Linked DNA regions of Arabidopsis thaliana. The protein of the gene in region 1 interacts with the protein of each later gene in a pairwise test. Each region holds a gene or a part of one and is shown on either strand. Other genes may lie near its edges.

Evidence for each region.
Region 2: the proteins of AT5G07730 (region 1) and AT3G02420 interact in a two-hybrid assay, tested with the Arabidopsis thaliana proteins (one large-scale study listed by BioGRID).
Region 3: the proteins of AT5G07730 (region 1) and ATRER1C1 interact in a two-hybrid assay, tested with the Arabidopsis thaliana proteins (one large-scale study listed by BioGRID).

What each region holds. Positions count from the first base shown.
Region 1 is NC_003076.8:2,456,847-2,462,622, reverse strand, and holds AT5G07730 (uncharacterized protein), read left to right. Parts: upstream 1-4,120; 5' UTR 4,121-4,239; coding exon 4,240-4,947; intron 4,948-5,027; coding exon 5,028-5,114; 3' UTR 5,115-5,276; downstream 5,277-5,776. Other genes in the region: AT5G07740 (actin binding protein), read left to right, coding at 1-572, 720-840, 1,251-1,322, 1,421-1,519, 1,667-1,708, 1,829-2,062, 2,154-2,235, 2,352-2,446 and 5 more; XXT3 (Galactosyl transferase GMA12/MNN10 family protein), read right to left, coding at 5,493-5,776.
Region 2 is NC_003074.8:494,063-501,896, forward strand, and holds AT3G02420 (dihydroflavonol 4-reductase/flavanone protein), read right to left. Parts: upstream 4,903-7,834; 5' UTR 4,711-4,902; coding exon 4,534-4,710; exon of another isoform or gene 4,316-4,533; intron 4,172-4,315; coding exon 4,042-4,171; intron 3,957-4,041; coding exon 3,856-3,956; intron 3,556-3,855; coding exon 3,430-3,555; intron 3,337-3,429; coding exon 3,216-3,336; intron 3,132-3,215; coding exon 3,047-3,131; intron 2,938-3,046; coding exon 2,824-2,937; intron 2,692-2,823; coding exon 2,652-2,691; intron 2,270-2,651; coding exon 2,117-2,269; 3' UTR 1,822-2,116; downstream 1-1,821. Other genes in the region: ICME-LIKE2 (alpha/beta-Hydrolases superfamily protein), read right to left, coding at 1-15, 89-158, 240-316, 553-815; AT3G02430 (transmembrane protein, putative (DUF679)), read left to right, coding at 5,298-5,957; TBL20 (TRICHOME BIREFRINGENCE-LIKE 20), read right to left, coding at 6,458-6,761, 6,923-7,404, 7,517-7,834.
Region 3 is NC_003071.7:9,914,641-9,921,200, forward strand, and holds ATRER1C1 (Rer1 family protein), read left to right. Parts: upstream 1-2,802; 5' UTR 2,803-3,002; coding exon 3,003-3,418; intron 3,419-3,946; coding exon 3,947-4,127; intron 4,128-4,231; coding exon 4,232-4,273; 3' UTR 4,274-4,739; downstream 4,740-6,560. Other genes in the region: AT2G23300 (Leucine-rich repeat protein kinase family protein), read left to right, coding at 1-1,600, 1,802-2,490. UniProt on the Arabidopsis thaliana protein: Involved in the retrieval of endoplasmic reticulum membrane proteins from the early Golgi compartment.

The sequences.
Region 1 (5,776 bases):
CCGCCGCCGCCTCCCCCTATGCATGGAGGAGCTCCACCGCCACCGCCGCCCCCTATGTTTGGAGGAGCCCAACCGCCGCCGCCTCCCCCTATGCGTGGAGGAGCTCCACCGCCGCCGCCTCCCCCGATGCGTGGAGGAGCCCCACCGCCGCCACCTCCCCCTATGCGTGGAGGAGCCCCACCACCGCCGCCTCCCCCGATGCATGGAGGAGCTCCACCGCCGCCGCCTCCCCCGATGCGTGGAGGAGCCCCGCCACCACCTCCGCCTCCTGGCGGTAGAGGGCCTGGTGCACCGCCGCCTCCACCACCTCCTGGTGGCCGTGCTCCTGGTCCACCCCCACCTCCTGGACCAAGACCTCCGGGTGGTGGACCTCCTCCACCTCCAATGCTTGGTGCCAGAGGAGCTGCAGTTGATCCTAGAGGTGCAGGAAGAGGGCGTGGTCTTCCTCGTCCAGGTTTTGGGTCTGCAGCTCAAAAAAAGTCTTCCCTGAAGCCATTACACTGGGTTAAAGTAACAAGGGCCTTGCAAGGGAGCTTATGGGATGAGTTACAGAGACATGGAGAATCACAAACGTATTGGACTAACTTTATCTTTGCTTTCCTCTTTCTTCTAAGTTCCTTCTCTTGCACCTTTGTTTATCAAGGAACTAATTATGTGCTGTTGGGGTTTTATTGACTATTGTTTTTCAATTAATCATATTTTTCTTTCTTTTCTGCTAGTCCATCAGAATTTGATGTATCAGAAATAGAGACCCTCTTCTCTGCTACAGTGCAAAAGCCAGCTGATAAATCTGGGAGTCGACGAAAATCTGTTGGGGCAAAACCTGAAAAAGTTCAACTGGTAATGTTAAATATTCTTAACCCTTAGTATTGTCAGATGTTTTAACTTGCTCCTTTCTGGTAGAGACTTTGGAAATGTATAAAGAAGTGACTGAAAGCATGTTATGATTATGTTAGATATTCTTAACCCTTAGTATTGTCAGATGTTTTAACTTGCTCCTTTCTGGTAGAGACTTTGGAAATGTATAAAGAAGTGACTGATAGCATGTTATGATTTGCCAGGAATCTGAGTACTACCCGAATATGTATATAAATATATTAAAAGTTGTACTAAGAATGTCTCTCTAAGCTACTCTGCCGCATCTCTTTTCCCTGGAATTTCTTCTACTCTGCAGCCTATGGCATGTCTGTATACTTTTGTGATTCAGTATTCTAGTCTTTTTGAAATATTGTTTTCTTATGGTTTTTCAGATTGACCTTAGGAGAGCCAATAACACGGAAATTATGCTTACTAAAGTAAAGATGCCGCTACCTGATATGATGGTAAGTTCCAGTACCTACTTTACCTGAGTGAAAGTCATGACTGGTTACCCTTTCATAGTTTGATGATAATTATTCAAATTTTTCTTTGCATCGTCCAGGCTGCAGTTCTGGCAATGGATGAGTCTGTACTAGATGTTGATCAAATAGAGAATCTTATAAAGTTTTGCCCAACCAAGGAGGAGATGGAGCTACTTAAGGTTACGTCTTGACTTTTGAGTAGCATTATCTATTTCTGTCTTTACTTTGGAGATCATTTGTGAAATATGTCAATTATTGGTTATCATTATTCACTTGTTATTGACATGAGTCCTTGTTCTTGGTCGTAATTGTCTGGTTTGTTCTAGAACTACACTGGTGACAAGACGACCTTGGGAAAGTGTGAGCAGGTCTGTTTAAGTCTTCAGATTACCAACCAATCTCGCACTGTTTTTGGCTTCTACTATAAAATGGTTAGCAATTAGCTTACTGAGTTAATACATTTTTTGTCATCCATTTTGCTATTGCAGTACTTCCTAGAGCTAATGAAGGTGCCACGAGTTGAGGCAAAGCTTAGAGTCTTTTCTTTTAAATTTCAATTCGGCACTCAGGTCTGGTGGAATTACTTAATACCGTTATTTTCTGTCTATTTGATTCTTTGGAGGACAAAATATAATTTTATTAGACTATTGATAATGATGTTTTTTGTGCAGATAACAGAATTCAAAAAAAGTTTAAATGCTGTAAATTCTGCGTGCGAGGAGGTAAGATGCTTGCAATAGTTAACTCTAGTTTTTGGGCAGTCCATATGCATTTCTCTTTGTTAGAATTTTCTACTTATTGCTTATTCATCAGGTCCGCTCTTCACAAAAGCTAAAAGAAATTATGAAAAAGATTCTTTACCTGGGGAACACATTGAACCAAGGAACTGCAAGGGGTAAGTATTATTTATGTTATTCTTGTTCTACATCTTTTTGCACAAGACATTGCTAGTTGTTTTGTCTGTACGGATAACCTTTGTGGTTGATATGATCCTTGCTTTGCTTTCTGCAGGCGCTGCTGTTGGATTCAAGTTGGACAGTTTATCGAAATTAAGTGATACACGTGCTGCTAACAGCAAGATGACTCTCATGCATTATCTTTGCAAGGTAAATGACAATCAAAAAGAGCAGGATCTAGTTTCTGATGAAGGTTATTATAAAAAGTGGTCTGGATCAGGAGAGATACATAATTCTGAAACTCTCATCTTTCTTTTTCCAGGTCCTTGCTTCAAAGGCATCAGTTCTACTGGACTTCCCCAAGGATCTTGAAAGTCTTGAATCAGCCTCGAAGGTTTGCAGTTGTTCATTTCTCGTCCTCTACTCCTTAGTTTCTATTGGCTCATCATTTGATCGTCCTGTCTATTGCAGATACAATTGAAGTCTCTGGCTGAGGAAATGCAAGCTATAATCAAAGGATTGGAAAAACTGAACCAGGAGCTCACTGCATCCGAAAGTGATGGTCCTGTTTCTGATGTTTTCCGTAAAGTATGTTGGGTTTTTTAATTTTCCTTTTGCACATCTTATCTATCATGAAATTGAGATTAGTTCCATGATTGTGCCACATTACTAAATCTGTATCACTTTTAAAATCATCAATAACCCGCTGGAAAATAATTCTTCAGTTGGGTTTTGTTTATAGAGTTAATTTCTTCCTGATCCTAAAACCTACTTTTATGCTTTGATAACAGACATTGGGGGACTTCATATCCGTTGCTGAGACTGAAGTGGCAACTGTATCGAGTCTTTACTCGGTCGTGGTAATTTGTCAACCTCTACTAGATTCCAAGCGCCTTTACCTTGACAATGTGGTTGATCCTGAAAATGATTTTTGTGTTGTTTCTTATGTTGGACGGCAGGGAAGAAATGCTGATGCTCTTGCTCACTATTTTGGCGAGGATCCTAACCGTTGTCCATTTGAACAAGGTATGACGAGGAATCTATAAACTTAAATCCTCTTGGGCAATACATAGAAAAAGAAAAAGTCCCTAATCGTTATTTAGTTGGAAGTGTTATGTAGCTAATAATAATACCGGGTAATGGACTGCTGCAGTTACTGCAACCCTCTTGAATTTTATAAGGTTGTTTAAGAAAGCACACGAAGAGAATGTCAAGCAAGCGGAGCTAGAGAAGAAGAAAGCTCTTAAGGAAGCGGAAATGGAGAAGGCAAAAGGAGTCAACCTCACAAAGAAACCAGTTGATGATAGCTGACGAAAAACTTAAGTATCAATTTGCAAATTCCGCCTCAACCTCTCAAGAGAACTGAGCTAGTCTTGTAAGCCAGCAAAGAGGCGGTGGTGCTGTTCAAGTAAACCTTTCCGCAAAGCGGCATTGGATGCTTAGTGCGGTTAAAAAAACAGGCTCGGGTCCTATGGGGAGCGGTTTCGCCTGGCGGGGGCTATCGAGGAACCATCGAAAGATTAAGAGACAGGTCTTTTCGCCACTCACGTTTAACATGATTGACTCCACATTGATTTAATTCTAACTTGTAAATTAGAATTCTTTCCTGTTTTTTATTTCCTGATTAGAGGAATTTTTGATAGATTGGAATGTTGTATAGGTTTCAGGTAGAGAGAGTGAGAGATGTAGAGCATTTTGTCTATTTAGTGTGTAACTTTGTATACCTTAACATCAATGTTCTTTTTAGGATTCAGTTCAGACAATGAGACGGCACGTGTGATAAACTAATTAATACAAAAGAAAATTGCGCGAGAAAATGAGATGGCACGTGTGTATGACCAGATTTTCTTAAACGAATCAGCGAAAAGCAACAATCACGTGTTCTTCTTGGATCCCAAAAGTTTGAAACTTTCATGGATTTGTCCTTCTTCTTCTTCCTCCAACTGTTTCTTTCTCACAAGCAAACCCTAGCGAGATAATTCCTCCAGCAAATCCAACTGAAGATGGCTGAAGATGAAGATCATTATTGTGAACAACACCTGATTGGTCCATTGGATCACAGTTCGTCAATGGTTGTCATCAGAGAATCGCCAATTTTCGCCAAGGACGATGGCGTTGTGTTCCCGCCGATCTACCATGAGAATCTCCATGTCGCTTCTTCCGTCTATGGAGTCGATAGATACCTCGAATCTCCGTCGGAATCCTCGTCTCCGTCATCTTCGTCGAGACGCTCTGGTTCATCTTCTTCTTTTTCGTTGTTTCCTTCTGATTCAGATGGACAAACGTCACTGACTGCGTTTGAATTTGACCGGAAGGCTCCGTCGGAAACTGAAGAAAAATCTCTGCCGTTGTTGTTAAGCGGTGAATCTCCACCGTCCGATTCGGGGGAACAGTCGCCATTTGAACAGATATCTCCGCGATTACCTTCTGAACAAGGCGGCAAGTCTCCACCATGCGATTCAGATGGGAAATTACTGGGGAAACCATTGAATCGTGAAGTTGATGTCCTCCACGATTGGTGGGAGCCTCTTCTTGTACGTTTATACTCCAAGTTGAAGAATTTGTTGACCTGGTTCTCAAAGACTATCCGATCATTTTATCCAGTTCTTGCCATTGCGATTTGGTGGTGGATGCGTGTACGAGCTCCTCGGAAACGCGTTAAAGGAGAAAACATGGATCATCTTCGAGATGTGATCAAAGAGAGAGACGAGGTATGTTTTTGTGCATACAAAGTGTTTGATGAAATGCCTAAGAGACGTGACATTACTATTGTTTTCTGATTTTGAAACAGAGGATAGTTCAGCTTTTGCATCAACTTGCTCAAATGAATGAGTTACTGTTAAAGCACCACAAGGACATTGTATCAAGAAGAAGATGATCCATCACAAATTCAAACCATTTTAGCTTATTGATTCTTTTGTTTCTTGTTTATATTATTTCGCAAGCCACTCTCTTTCTGTAAAATTCTTCCATTTTAATCTCTCAATTGAGATAAAGATGTAAATTTTCCCATTGTTACGAGTCAGAGTTACTTCACTTCATACTTAGGATTCTGCAAAACTAGATCTTTGCATTGAAAGGTACTTGAACAAATTGATAATTCATCTTCTGTTCAAGTTTAACAAAAGAATATATTGACTTTATATATTGGGTAAAAATATAAGAAAGAGAAGTGAGCTTTGAAACAATGTAGCATTTTGTTCAGTTAAGTAGGAACTGATTGTGCTTTACCAAACTGAAACTGGTTCATCAGCTGCTAGCTTCGTGCTTCAATCTTGAGCGGTGTTGTTCTCCGAATATCAAACCTGTCTACGAATTTCAATGGAAATGTTGTCTCGTTTCTGATCCTCTTGATCTTAGGACTTAACAATCCCCTGTGACCAAACCCATACAGTTTGAGCACTTGATTATCCGCAAAGTTGAATGCTCGCTCCATACTCTTCAAGCAACGTTCAACCGCGTAATCAGCATAACTCCCACACGGTTTGCATCCAACAAAGTGAGTAATAAAAGGCCATCTTTCATCTCCCAAACCGGGAT
Region 2 (7,834 bases), on another chromosome or scaffold:
ATGTACAAATCCAGCCTGCCAGAATAATCGAATAAAATGTACTAAATACCAATCATTGAAGAAGGCAAGATTGCAGAGACTGAGATACCTATTCCTTGGATGACCTCCATAAACTATACTCCTCCTGACTTGAGATGAGAAAAAATAAAGATATGCAACTGCACAAGGAAATAGCAAAAGCTTTGTTAGTGTACAAAAAACAGCTTGTTAATAAGACAGAGCAAAGAAGATGGGGTAACCTTGAAGGAAACCAGGCATAAGGAGCATTGCATAACAAGCAAGAGCAAGTAATCTTGTGATCCACCGGTAACCTACCCTGAACAAAAACTTACAACAATAAAACAAAACTTTCCTTACAGAGATTCCGACAAAAAAATTGAAACATCATCACATGTCCTAAGATTATTAATTACCGGAAAACTCATTTAGTTATCATAAAACTGTGGTAAGAATAATTCATCGAGAAGACTAATTGTGAGCTCTAGAAACAGGACATGAGATACGTCTCGGCTAAAAACAAATAAACGATGCCATGAGAGGAATGAAATTTACCCGAGATATCCAAGAAGGTTGAAGCTAAGTCGAGTAATGAGATACGTCTCGGCAGCTGCATGGCCTATGTCGCGACCGAACGACTGCTGCCGGCAAATTCGAGGCGAACCGTCCTCAGAAGAATTCCCGGAGACTCTTCTACGAACATGTTCCGGTGAAGATAATCTGTTGGAGCCGTGAAGCAGCTCCATTTCCTCGGAATTCGCTGACCAAGCCTCTCTGTTTTCAGACATCGGACGGCATCGTTCCGGAGACAACTGCATCTCCGCCGTGAAAGTAGTCGGAGAAAGATTGGATCTCGAATTTTGTATCCTCCTCCTCCTATTCGTGTCTTGTGCTTTTATAATTGATCGGTTCTTGTTTTTTTTGTTTCAATTTTCAAATATTTGAAAAGCTTTCACTCATGTGCGGCTCTCTCTCTTTTTCACAGAGGAATGTCAAAACGACGTCGTATTCCGGTCCTCTTCTCTACCAATTTTTTTCCTTCCTAATGAGTATTATTAATGTGAATAAGTTACAGTATTCTGATTTGGTTTCTTTAATCTAGTAGTGATTACGTACTTTGAAGAGTTCTTTTTCTTATTTTGTGTATTAAACAGCAGTTTAAAGGGTCCCGCTCCATATATTAAATTGTGATTAGAATTGCGTTCGAACACAATACGCTATTGGTGGTTTGATGTCTCGACACTCGTATTTCGTATAGTTGTGCATAGACGCCACGTGGTATTGCTTGCTGGTACTAGACTTTGGGAACGTGTTCGGTGATTTAAGCGGTGGCACGCGCACCAATGAAGGGAATATGAATCAATGATTAAGATACCTTATTCCCAAATTTGGTTTATCTAAATAATACTCCTCTCCCCCCCCCAATGTACATTATTTTAGATTTCCTTTTTTCGAACAAAAACACTCATCCACATGTGTAAACGACTCACAACCAATCAACTATAATTTCTTTAAATAATCACCCTTTCAATATATAATAATTTTACACAATGAAACCGATTTTCTAGGGCCAGATGATATTTTAGATGATTTTTATTTTTGAGCAAAAGTTCTACAATCACTCATGGAATCAGATATTATAAAATTTAGAACATTTTCATCGGTAATTTCTCACATAATTTTTTATTGACTAAAAAATATAAAATAATAATAAAGTATGAGAGAGATAAGAGAGAGATTGAGAATTGTTTTTATGCAGAGAAATTTTAGAGTAATGATTGAGAGACTATATGTATATGTATGTGTTTATAATTGGACAGAAACTAAATCATAATAAAATATTATTATTATTATTTTTTTAGAAACTTTTGAAGTATCTCACCAATGAAAATGGCAAGGTGGAAACTGGAAAGGCAATTAGTCACATATAACTAAACTAGAAACCAAAAGTAATAAGAGATTTTTATTTCAGCGATAGCCAAAGGAAAACGTTAAAAGAGAAGAAGAATCTACTTTACGCTGAATATGAAATTAACATGGATTGTTGAAAGCTATTTAATCAATCTTCTGGTTTTTCAAAAGGGTTTCAAAAGTCACCTCTGCATTTTGTTTCTTTTTATCACCTGAACCACCATCTCTGAACGGCACTGACCGGAGTATTCAAGAAAGGAGCGTAACGTTGGATAATCGGAGTCACCGTCCTCCCTATTCTGCTCCACGTGCTCTGGTGGTAACCAGCTGTTACCGGTGCTTGATACATCAGCTTCAATAGCTGCCACCAAAATAACAAAACTCAGTTCATGAGAACAACTCTCAAGATCCAACCAACAATCCTGCAAACAACCTAGTAGATCTTTGTTTTAGGAAGAATATGAGGAAAAGGTTTTTGAACTTGACAGATTTTATAACAAGAACACAAGATTTTTAACCAAAAAAAAACAAAACACAGTTCTCATTACTATCCTGATGGTCTTAGCCCATGTAACACTTTCAGTGACAGAAGATCATCAAAGCAACAAAAAAGGTGTTATTACGGAAATGATTCTTCCTATATGTTCACTTGGATCAAATTAAACAAAGAAAACAGGGGTTCTACTTGGGAATGTTGAGCCATCACAAAGAACTGATGACTACAACCAAAAGATGATACGTACCTGCCAGTACATGAACGTCTGTATAATGTTACGTTGCCATCTGCAGTAAGTAAAATGACAATTTTGTTCAGATAAGTGAAACCAGCTAATGCAAAGCTGGGAACTTAGTGAGAATATAAACTTAAGTGCGAAAATAAACTATTATCGCTTCTAACAGGTTCAAAGAGCTTACGAGAGCAGAGAGATAATCAGAAGGAAGCCAATGGCTATCTCAGCCTGCGATGACAAGATGTTGAGGGTAGTAGTGTTTGACTCCACCCACACACAAGGGTCTTCCAAGTACTTTCTGATAACCATTACAGAACAAGACACATGTACAACATAAGCATCAGTAAGAATCCACACATGGAACCTACTACTACATTCAAACCTGCTAATCAGCTCGATGCACCTACCTGTATATAGTGGACCGACCAAAGTTACGCCTCAAGAACTTGGCTACTTGTTCAAGTGCCCGGCACAAGATGGGAATCAAAGCAACTGCAACAGATTGATAATGAGACTAGTCATAAGAATGTACGTGATTTGAAGACATTCACAAAAGAGTTTTCAATAAATTCTTACACTTGAGACAGAGATGTGAAGTGACGAATGTAAGGCAGTAGATGAAGTAGATGAAATCCTTTGCTGCCACAATTGATTGAAAATAAACTTGCAGCCCTTGCATATTCCATGCCCTTGGCCTCTGCAGATTATAAAATTACAATTCATAAGTAACAAAAATTTCGCATTGCATGATCACTAGAGAGAAAGAAAACATGAAATTCACATGGCGTACCCCGTATAAGGAGTATAAGGAATATAGAGATGAGCATGCAGTTCCCATGAAAGATAGACGATAAGCCCTATTTGAGAGGTTCTTTGGTATTAGAGGTAGCACTGCCAGCACAGCTATAACAAAAACCTGCAAAAATGTAATGGATTTAGAGACATGAAACGGGAGATAAGTTACGTGAAGCATTCCAGACAAAAAAGCATTTGTCACATCTAGTTCATGTCTAAGTACACAACAAAGATTCAGCAAGACAGGAGAACATAAAGACAGACAATACACTATGCACCATCTCATTACTGTCCGTGAAGTTAAGGAGTGAACAGCAGATTGCAACAACAATCCCAACTCACAGGGCTAACAAGAGCTAGATCTTTTTATTAAACTTGTGCAATAAGAGGAAGAAACTGCAACTGAAAAACTTTATCTTACCCAAGCATTGACTGAAAACTGAATCGTCTGCTCATCCCAGCGCATTGAACTTGGGGTTGCACCAGTCGTAGCAGATGGCCCAGAGGTTCGAGGAACCGATCCTGAGGCACACAATTAGGTAAGTTTTTGGTAGTAATAAGAAAAGCTCATTTGAGTTCAAGAATATATCAGACAAAGAAAGTTGACCTGAGTTCCGTGAACGAACTTGTTCATTTGCATTAGAAGATGCAGTTGAAGATGCAGATGTAGCAGTTGGCCTGGCAGATTGTGAAGACGAAGATGAAGTCGACATAGGCTCCACAACAAGATCAGGATCCTGCAAAAAAGAAGGACATGGCAAGCACCCTAGATTTAGAAACAAATCCAGATTACATCTTCATAGGGAAGAGCAAAGATGAACAACACGAAGGCTTCACATATTATAAACAGGACCTAACGAATATTCAATGAAAAGCCCTACCCTCCGCTTAATAACCTAATCACGAGGAGATTCGGACCCAAGGACTAAGCAATTTAGCAGAAAGAACATCAACAACCACACTTGTAAAACCTAAGATTCAAAGTCCACACTAAATCCCCAAATCAGTAGCGCACACAACACAAAGTCAAACTCGAAACTCAAAGTAATGAAGAAAATGGATAAGCAAATTCAAGAGTAGGGAAGATAGTAGTAAGTACGATGTAGCGTTGGTAGAATTTGCGCTTGAAATGGTCGACGACCTCGGGACGAGAAGCCATGTGAGGAGGGATGAGGATATTGGACCAGTAATCGGCCCATCGAGCGTCGTTTTCGTAGTCGAAGGCAGCCGCCGCAATTTTCTTCAACCGCTGGGAATCTTCGCCGCCTTCCGCCATGGATGAGATCGCCGGAGAGAGAGATTTGGATTCGACTTTTTTTGTATGGGTTTTGTTTCTTTGGTCCACTTTTCCTATACTTTACTTACTACTAGTATCTGTGGACTTTTGCAAGAGCGACGACGTTTTGGCAATCAGTTGTTTATGATATTTAATATAAAAATAACTACAACTTTGCAAAAGACTGGAAACTTTGAGGGTTTGTATGCAATTTATCCAAAGAAAGAAAATGAACAAAACAGAGCATTGGGAAAGAAACCCTAAATCGTGAGAACAGAGAAGGACTAGCGTGCGAAGAACAAGCAGAATATGACACAGTTATATCTAGCTCAATCACTGTTTTCAGCATTATGTTCTATCTTGTTAAAAGCTTTAAAAAGTCTTGTATTATTTGTCGTGTATAATGTTGTTTATCGTACAAGTTAACTGAACAGAGAGATTACTTAAATACAGACAGTCCACTATGCGTAAACTAAGTTATCATTAGCTGTTTCTATATCGTAGCATCTATAAAAAAACATCATCATCATTATCTTCACCAATATCAATCCAACGATCGAAACCTGAAAAGAATCAAAACTAAAAAGATGTCTGCCCTTCGGCTAAGAAACGCAAACACTCCGGCTCCGGAGCTCGACGAGTTATCCGATCAGACACCGTCAGAATCCCGGGTGCTCAAGAGACAGATGTCAATGTCTCAGCGAGCCATGTCAAACACCCTGACGTCAGCAGCCAATCTCTCAAACCTACTCCCAACGGGAACACTCCTCGCGTTTCAACTCCTAACGCCGGTTTTCACTTCAAACGGCGTTTGCGACCACGCAACGCGTTTCCTAACCGCCGTTCTCCTTTTCCTCTTAGCCGCGTCTTGCTTCGTCAGCTCCTTTACCGATAGCGTTAAAGCCGACGATGGAACTATCTACTTCGGTTTCGTAACGTTCAAAGGCATGTGGGTCGTTGACTATCCTGACCCGTCCGGGTTAGGTTTACCCGATTTAGCCAAATATCGGATGCGGTTCGTTGATTGGATCCACGCTACGTTGTCGGTTTTAGTGTTTGGAGCGGTTGCGTTGAGAGACAAGTATATAACTGATTGCTTTTATCCGTCGCCGGAGGCAGAGACGAAACATGTCTTGGACATTGTTCCGGTGGGTGTTGGGGTTATGTGTAGCCTTTTGTTTATGGTTTTTCCGGCGAGACGCCACGGAATTGGATATCTTGTTACCGGTAGCGTAGATCGCCGATGATTTATAATTAAAACCAATTTAGAAACGGTAGCGTTTGCATGGTGGGTTGACTATTTTCGTTTGTTTTCTTGTTTGTAAAGTTGTATAATTTGTATATATACGTTATGACCATTATTCTTTTTATTAAACTAATAAATTTTAATTTTGTGTCAAATATATATAATTTTCCTAATTCAAATAGACTTTATTTATTTGAATTCTAAAATCATTGCATGGACTTTTTGATGTAAAATACATTAATGTATGTACGGTTGACATGTTACTTGGAAAACGTTGACTATTTTACTTCATTTGTACCATAAACTTATATTAGATCCATATCATTAAATATTCAATGTGTTAATTAAGATCTGAAATTACTTAAAAGCTTATATCTGATTATGAAAACCGTGCCAAAAAGGGAAGAGATCTTTCTAAATACCACATCGTAACCAAACATACTCGTATATAATTACAAATGAACAAAAAGGGTTTAACTGAGAAAATTTAGATTCTACGTACTAGTATTTTAATCTCTTTAAATCTCTATTTTTCAACATGTCTAGTAAAAAATCGTTCCATGAATCAATTGGACCTGGCAAACACCAATGTACACAATCATTATACAAGATAACTTTATCTTCTCGTTTATGTCCGAATCTGCTCGGATGTCCATCTGGTCTTAACAACATCATCTGTGTGACATCTAGTAATCTCAAATTTAATCCGTCATTTCTGTTTTTGTCTCTGTTTGCAATGCGAAATTCATCGAGTTGAATGCTGTGTGTCTCTAGATTCATACCATCTAACTCTGTCTCATTGCTCCTATATAAACACAAAAGAAACCCAAAGGAATATATAGACGTTTCTATTAGGATGTGACGAATGAAAACTCAAACAACAACAAAAAAAACACAAAACTCATAATATTAAAGTATTCTAGAAGAAACTAATATTTTAGAAAATGTCGGATGAACAATGTATACCTATATGGTCGCGTTTTCAAGCAATTTCCACCTTTGTCCCATTCTCCACCTTCGAAATGTGAAGGAGCAAATGTCCTCAGAAACACTTCTCCTTTAAAATTCTCTAATCCAAGAATTGTCTTGAATGTTGTTCTCAATGCTCTTCTATACGCGAAATGTGCCCCGACATTTCTGACTCCGGGAATGTAGCAATACAAACATCCTATCCTTTTTTGTTTGTCGAAAAGGAAGAGTGGTCGGAAAAACCATTGTCCAGATGAGATGATTATGTAATCGAACTCACCGATTTGGGAAGCCCAAGTAGGGTCAGGTTCGTCGAGGTAGAGATTGTAGAATGAATTAGGACCTGTCGGACCGGTTTCCGTTTCTTCAGCGCGAACCAAATGTGTTGTCCAAAATGTGGCGATCGTGAAGTTGTACGTTTTGTATTTCCATCGTTGGAAATTAAACTCCTGTTGTGAGTCACCCTCAGGATGTTCCACCTGAAATTAATATCTAAACCAAGGTTACTTTTGCATCAAGTAATGTATTAAACGAGTAAGTATTGTCATAAAATAAATAAAAAAGTTGGATAAGCATTGAGAGAATTGGTACCCGAGAGAGTAGGCAGATCAAAGACTGAACGTGGTTTCTGCTAACGGAGTCACCAACGAACGCCATTCTTGTTCCTCTAACTATTTCCAGAAACTCGTAAGGATCAAACAGAGGGAGATCACATTCTTTAGGTTTCCATCTCCATTTCATGAAACCTAAATCAGGTCTTCCATACTTGATGCAGTTTTGGTGTTCGTGTATCGCCCTGCATGTCGTGTTTGTGTAGTACGGGGCTTTAGGGTTTGGGATCCACTCGCCGGAGAATATATCGCATTTACGTTTTCTCTTTTTCCGGCGGTGCTCTTTCTTAGGAGTTAC
Region 3 (6,560 bases), on another chromosome or scaffold:
GTCTCCTTCTTCTTCTTCTTCTTCTTCTTCTCTTCTCTGTTTCTTCTCTCCTCTGCTTTAAACTCTGATGGAGTTCTCTTACTGAGTTTCAAATACTCTGTTCTTCTTGATCCTCTCTCTTTATTACAATCATGGAACTACGACCACGACAATCCTTGTTCATGGCGAGGTGTGTTGTGTAATAACGATTCAAGAGTTGTTACTTTATCTCTCCCAAACTCTAACCTCGTTGGTTCGATTCCTTCCGATCTGGGTTTCCTCCAAAACCTCCAAAGTCTTAATCTTTCCAATAATTCACTCAATGGGTCATTACCGGTTGAGTTTTTCGCCGCCGATAAGCTCCGGTTTCTTGATTTATCAAATAACTTGATCTCCGGCGAGATCCCTGTATCAATCGGAGGTTTACACAACCTCCAGACGTTAAATCTCTCCGATAACATCTTCACCGGGAAACTACCAGCTAACTTAGCGTCTCTTGGAAGCTTAACGGAGGTTTCTCTGAAGAACAACTACTTCTCCGGCGAGTTTCCCGGCGGCGGATGGAGATCGGTTCAGTATCTAGACATTTCTTCAAATCTAATCAACGGTTCACTCCCACCTGATTTCTCCGGCGACAATCTCCGATACCTGAATGTCTCGTATAACCAAATCTCCGGAGAGATTCCTCCGAATGTTGGTGCCGGTTTTCCTCAAAACGCCACCGTTGATTTCTCCTTCAACAATTTAACCGGTTCAATCCCAGATTCTCCGGTTTACCTTAACCAGAAATCAATTTCGTTTTCCGGAAACCCGGGTTTATGCGGAGGTCCGACCCGAAACCCGTGTCCCATTCCTTCATCTCCGGCCACCGTCTCGCCACCAACCTCTACACCTGCACTCGCAGCTATACCTAAATCAATCGGGTCTAATCGAGAAACCGAACCGAACAACAACTCAAATCCTCGAACCGGGTTAAGACCAGGAGTTATAATCGGAATCATAGTCGGAGATATCGCCGGAATCGGAATCCTCGCTCTTATCTTCTTCTACGTTTATAAATACAAAAACAACAAGACAGTGGAGAAGAAGAACAATCATAGCCTAGAAGCTCATGAAGCTAAAGACACAACTTCGTTATCACCATCATCATCAACAACTACATCTTCTTCATCTCCAGAACAATCAAGCAGATTTGCAAAATGGTCATGTCTCCGTAAGAATCAAGAAACCGATGAAACCGAAGAAGAAGACGAAGAAAATCAACGGTCAGGAGAGATTGGAGAGAATAAGAAAGGGACTTTAGTAACCATTGATGGAGGAGAGAAAGAGCTTGAAGTTGAAACTTTGCTTAAGGCTTCTGCTTACATTTTAGGAGCCACTGGTTCGAGTATAATGTACAAGACTGTTCTTGAGGACGGTACGGTTCTCGCGGTTCGTCGGTTAGGTGAGAATGGTTTGAGTCAACAACGCCGGTTTAAAGACTTTGAGGCACATATTCGAGCTATTGGTAAATTGGTTCACCCGAATTTGGTACGTCTTCGTGGATTCTATTGGGGCACCGACGAGAAATTGGTCATTTACGATTTTGTTCCTAACGGCAGTCTCGTCAACGCCCGTTACAGTGAGTCAAAATCATCTCTTTCACATTTCAATCTTTTTCCTCGCTTTATGATAAAGGCACATGTTAGCATAAGATCAAGTCGCACGCTAGCATCACCAGGGTTTTGCTACTGTGTTCATATTAGTTGGTAGTAGTTAAATTACACCTGTATTAATAAAGTCAACGGCTGGTCAAATTTTGATTCTTTGTGCTATTGGACAGGGAAAGGAGGGTCTTCGCCGTGCCATTTACCGTGGGAGACTCGGCTCAAGATAGTAAAAGGTTTGGCTCGTGGGCTTGCTTACCTCCACGACAAGAAACATGTGCACGGTAACTTGAAGCCTAGTAACATACTCTTGGGCCAAGATATGGAGCCCAAGATCGGAGATTTCGGGCTCGAAAGGCTTCTCGCCGGGGATACTAGCTATAACCGAGCTAGTGGATCATCTCGGATTTTCAGTAGCAAGCGATTGACAGCATCCTCGCGTGAATTTGGTACCATCGGGCCCACACCGAGCCCAAGTCCAAGCTCCGTTGGGCCCATATCTCCCTATTGCGCACCCGAGTCGCTCCGCAATCTCAAACCAAACCCGAAATGGGATGTGTTTGGGTTTGGAGTGATCCTCCTCGAGCTGCTCACGGGAAAAATAGTGTCGATAGACGAGGTGGGGGTAGGAAATGGGCTGACCGTAGAGGACGGGAACCGGGCGCTAATAATGGCTGATGTAGCGATCCGCTCCGAATTGGAAGGCAAAGAGGACTTTTTACTTGGCCTTTTCAAATTGGGATATAGTTGTGCATCTCAAATTCCACAAAAGAGACCGACCATGAAAGAGGCGTTAGTAGTGTTTGAAAGATATCCTATTAGCTCATCGGCTAAGAGTCCATCGTACCATTACGGACACTATTAACGTTTGATCTTACACTAACTCTAGTCTCTAAGCGTTTCTCTATGGCCAAAGTATATACACATGATGCAAATTGTTCTTTCTTGTTGTTTGTCCACTTGAGTTTTTATATATGATTCTTTAGGATACTACCACTAGGTTAGCTTGGTTTGTAATCGTTTTTTGTTTAATTTAGTGTAAGTTCGGTTTGTGTTGGAGACTTGGAGTTGGCTCCCATATACTTAAATCTTCAAACATAAGTTAATGTGTTATACTATATTTTCAACCAGTAGACCAATCATATAAATCGTTTAATAATTTCTGAACCACTAAACCCGCAAGTAAACCGATAGATTGATCGTATAATTTCAACCGGTTCGGATAGTAAATAGTAGATCTTCCGTAAACCGGATATGATCTGATCTGATCTCCCAAAAAGTCCCAAATCCAAATCTACGAATCTCCGTCTCCTCCGTCGCATTTTCCGAGGTAGAGAGAGAGATCAAACCAAAGAGACACAGAGAGAGTATCCACCGATGGAATCCGCAGCAACGGCTGTTGTACCTCCGGCAGCCGCCGCCACCACCGCCACCGCCACCGATGATAATCTCCAATCAAGCGACTCATCATCTCCCGCCGACGCCGTTAACCGATTGATCCACGCCTTTTCGCAGCGACAACAACATCTTCTCGACAAAACGGTTCCTCACGTTCTCTATCGATGGATCGCATGTCTCTGTGTTGTATTGATCTACATCGTTCGTGTTTACTTTGTGGAAGGCTTCTACATCATCACTTACGCCATCGGCATCTACCTTTTGAATCTCATCATTGCTTTTCTATCTCCTCAAGAAGATCCCGAAGCTTCTCTCACTTCCGGTGGTTCTCTTCCTACTCGGAGATCCGATGAGTATCGTCCTTTCGTTCGCCGTCTCCCTGAGTTCAAATTCTGGTTCGTCTCTTTGATTCTGTATTATTGATTTTGTTAGATCTGATATAGGGTTTTAGTAGTGAAATTGAGCATAGCGTTATTGGTTTGATTCACTTTATCGATTGAGACTTGAGAGGATGACGAAGCTTGATGACTTACTTGTTAAGGAATTCAACTATTGTAGACTTTGATATAGTTAGATTACGTAGATCTGATCTAGGGTTTTAGTAGCGTTATTGGTTTGATTGCAGATGAATTCATGACTGAATCGTTAGATCAGATGATTGATAATGATGTTTGATGACTTACTTGTTGAGGAATTCAATTATTGTGGACTTTGATGTAGCTAGATTGATTCAATTCTGCAGAGAAACTACATTTTTAGCAAGATTTAGAACCAAATTTAGAAGAGATCGACAAGATTCACTTTGTGAAGCCTTTGTATGAATTCTTTTTAGGTTTATCAATCTAGAATGTGATGAAGTCTCGATTTGATGTCCTTTGGATTTTTTGATGTGGAATGTTGTGTGTGTGTTTTTTGCCATGAAGGTTATCGATCATAAGGGCTTTCATCATCGGATTTATGATGACGTTCTTCGAGGTGTTTGATGTACCTGTATTCTGGCCAATACTTCTCTTCTACTGGGTGATGTTGTTTTTCCTTACGATGAGGAAACAGATACAGCATATGATCAAATACAGATATGTCCCTTTCTCTTTTGGGAAAAAGGTGTGTGTTTCTTTTTCTTTCCTTCCTTCACAGAACTGACTCTAACGTCTGAACAAGTTGAGTAAGTTTTCTAACTTCATCCTCGGTTTGTTTTTCCCTTGCAGCAGTATGGAAAGAAACCGGCTCCAACAGAGAGCAGTGAATGATCAATCAAAACTGTTCAGGTCAGCAATTTTACAGTCTTTTGAGAGAAGTAGCATTTGAAAAGGTCGGTCTTTTGTTCTCTTTTGATGGCCTATATCTTTGTTAGGGATGAAGTAGAGATAGACATATTTTGCTCTTTTATCATCCTGACTATTTTACTGGTTTCACCTGAACTCAATGTACAATCTTATTTTTTTACATCCTTTTTTCAGTGAGAAAATAATGTTTCATACTTGACCCTTTTGTAATCATCATGGTGGAAAACTAAAGACTAATCAGTAATCACTGTCCGGTTCTATCGATGTTCATGGATTGTGTCCTAGTTATTTAAGAACATGGAAATTGCGATATGCTTGGTATTCATGAATGTTCACTGAGTTCTTCCTGATTCTATAATGTGTTTTTTTTCTTTCAAGTGTTAGTTTTGATAGATACAATGTTTCATTAAAAATGAATGGTACTATACAACTCCAAATCTCACGAACAACTACCATAGTTAGCAAAGTATATAGTCATTCACAACATATGACGATTGAGATTTGAGATAATATGTCAAGTAGGAAACTGTTTACTTCAGTTTCCTTAATGGTTGGTAAAGTTTCATATGTGAAGTTCATAATCTATCTAGTCTCTCTACAAAGGTGTGATTTCATAAACCCGGAAAACAAGAAATGGCAACCAAGATTTGATGATATTGTCATTTTGCTTTCCGCAATCGTCGTACTCTGATTTTGAGTAAAAATAAGTAATCCAGTTTTGGTCATTTTAACGGCCCAATAGCAATCACTGCAAGTCTGATTTTGAATTTGTAACAATAAATTAGGATACTCTAAAATACACAGATACGGAATTGACCAAGTAGATATCCTAGTCTATCAATAATTTCCTTTTTCTTTAAACATTTAACATGAAATCGGTGAGAATATTCTTAAATCATAACTAACCATATTTGCCTATTTAATAAATACTATAAAACCCTGTTGCGGCCATTCACAATTGACAATACACCAAGAAGAAAAGAAAAAAAAAAACATATGACGACGATGCCAAATGTTCCAGAGGTTTTGGAAGAGGAGATTTTGTTCCCTGAGTTTCAGTCTACAAAGAATCCATAACGATGACTTCGTTTTTCGGTCGTTAAATTAGGTAAATATTTTTGACCATATCGAAATACAAAGTCATCCACATTTAGATGTGGTCAAAAATATCTACCTGATTAATGGACGGAATGACAAAGTCATTCTTGTGGATTCCTTGGAAATTGAATGTCAAGGAACAGATGTTCTAATTGATAACTAGAGTTGTCCTCTATGAGGAGATATAGCTTACGTCATTAGATAATGGTCCATTTGTTAAGGAGGTATGAAAAAACAAATCATTCATGTATTTCAAAACCAGGACCTTATTCAATGCATCAGTTTAAGCAATCTTAAACATATATATTACAAAATCAGATGATAAATGAAAAGTCATATTAAGGAAAATTCTGAAGGCTTTAACCTCAAACGTGATGTTATACTTTCCATCTTTATTCCGCATCCTCAAATATGATTGGGACGAGTGACGTCTCTGCACCTTCACTCAGAAGTAGTAGGGAATTCTTAGTTTATTATGAATGCCCTTCAAAGTAAGAATTGGAGTTTATGGAAGCTCATTTGATTCGCAGAATATATGTTGATAAAAAAAAAGAAAAGAGAGTGTTGGGTCAAAATTATAGGCTATTGAGTTGTGTCCACTAAGCTAGTTTTCTTGCTTGCTCATGTATTTTGGGCCGAGTTTTCAATCAGTAGTTATCCACATATATTTCGGGATCACATAATTATTTGGATATGATACTTCATGAAACATTTGTGAGCCAGGGGTATCAAAATAGATAATTTAATTCGATCCAAACCCATATGGGTTCGAGGTTTTATTAAACAGGTTTGATTCAACCTATTTATTTATATGGGTTTAATTTACATATTCAAACCCAAAACTATAAAATCTATTGGTTATAGATTATATCAATATATGGATCCTATAAATAAATATACAAAAAAATCCGAAATTATAATTAGAAAACCAACAAAAAATTTCAAATAACAAATTAAAAATATTTAAATAGAAAAGCATCCTAAAATGTTAAAACCACATAACCAAAAGAAAAATATTTGTTACATATATATTATTATTTATATATATATTGTTTTTTACTTTTTAATTCTTAGTAAAAAAGATAAAGTAACATTTATTTTAGATATTTTACATATTTAACTCCAAAGAAAAGAAAATATATTATATTTTTAG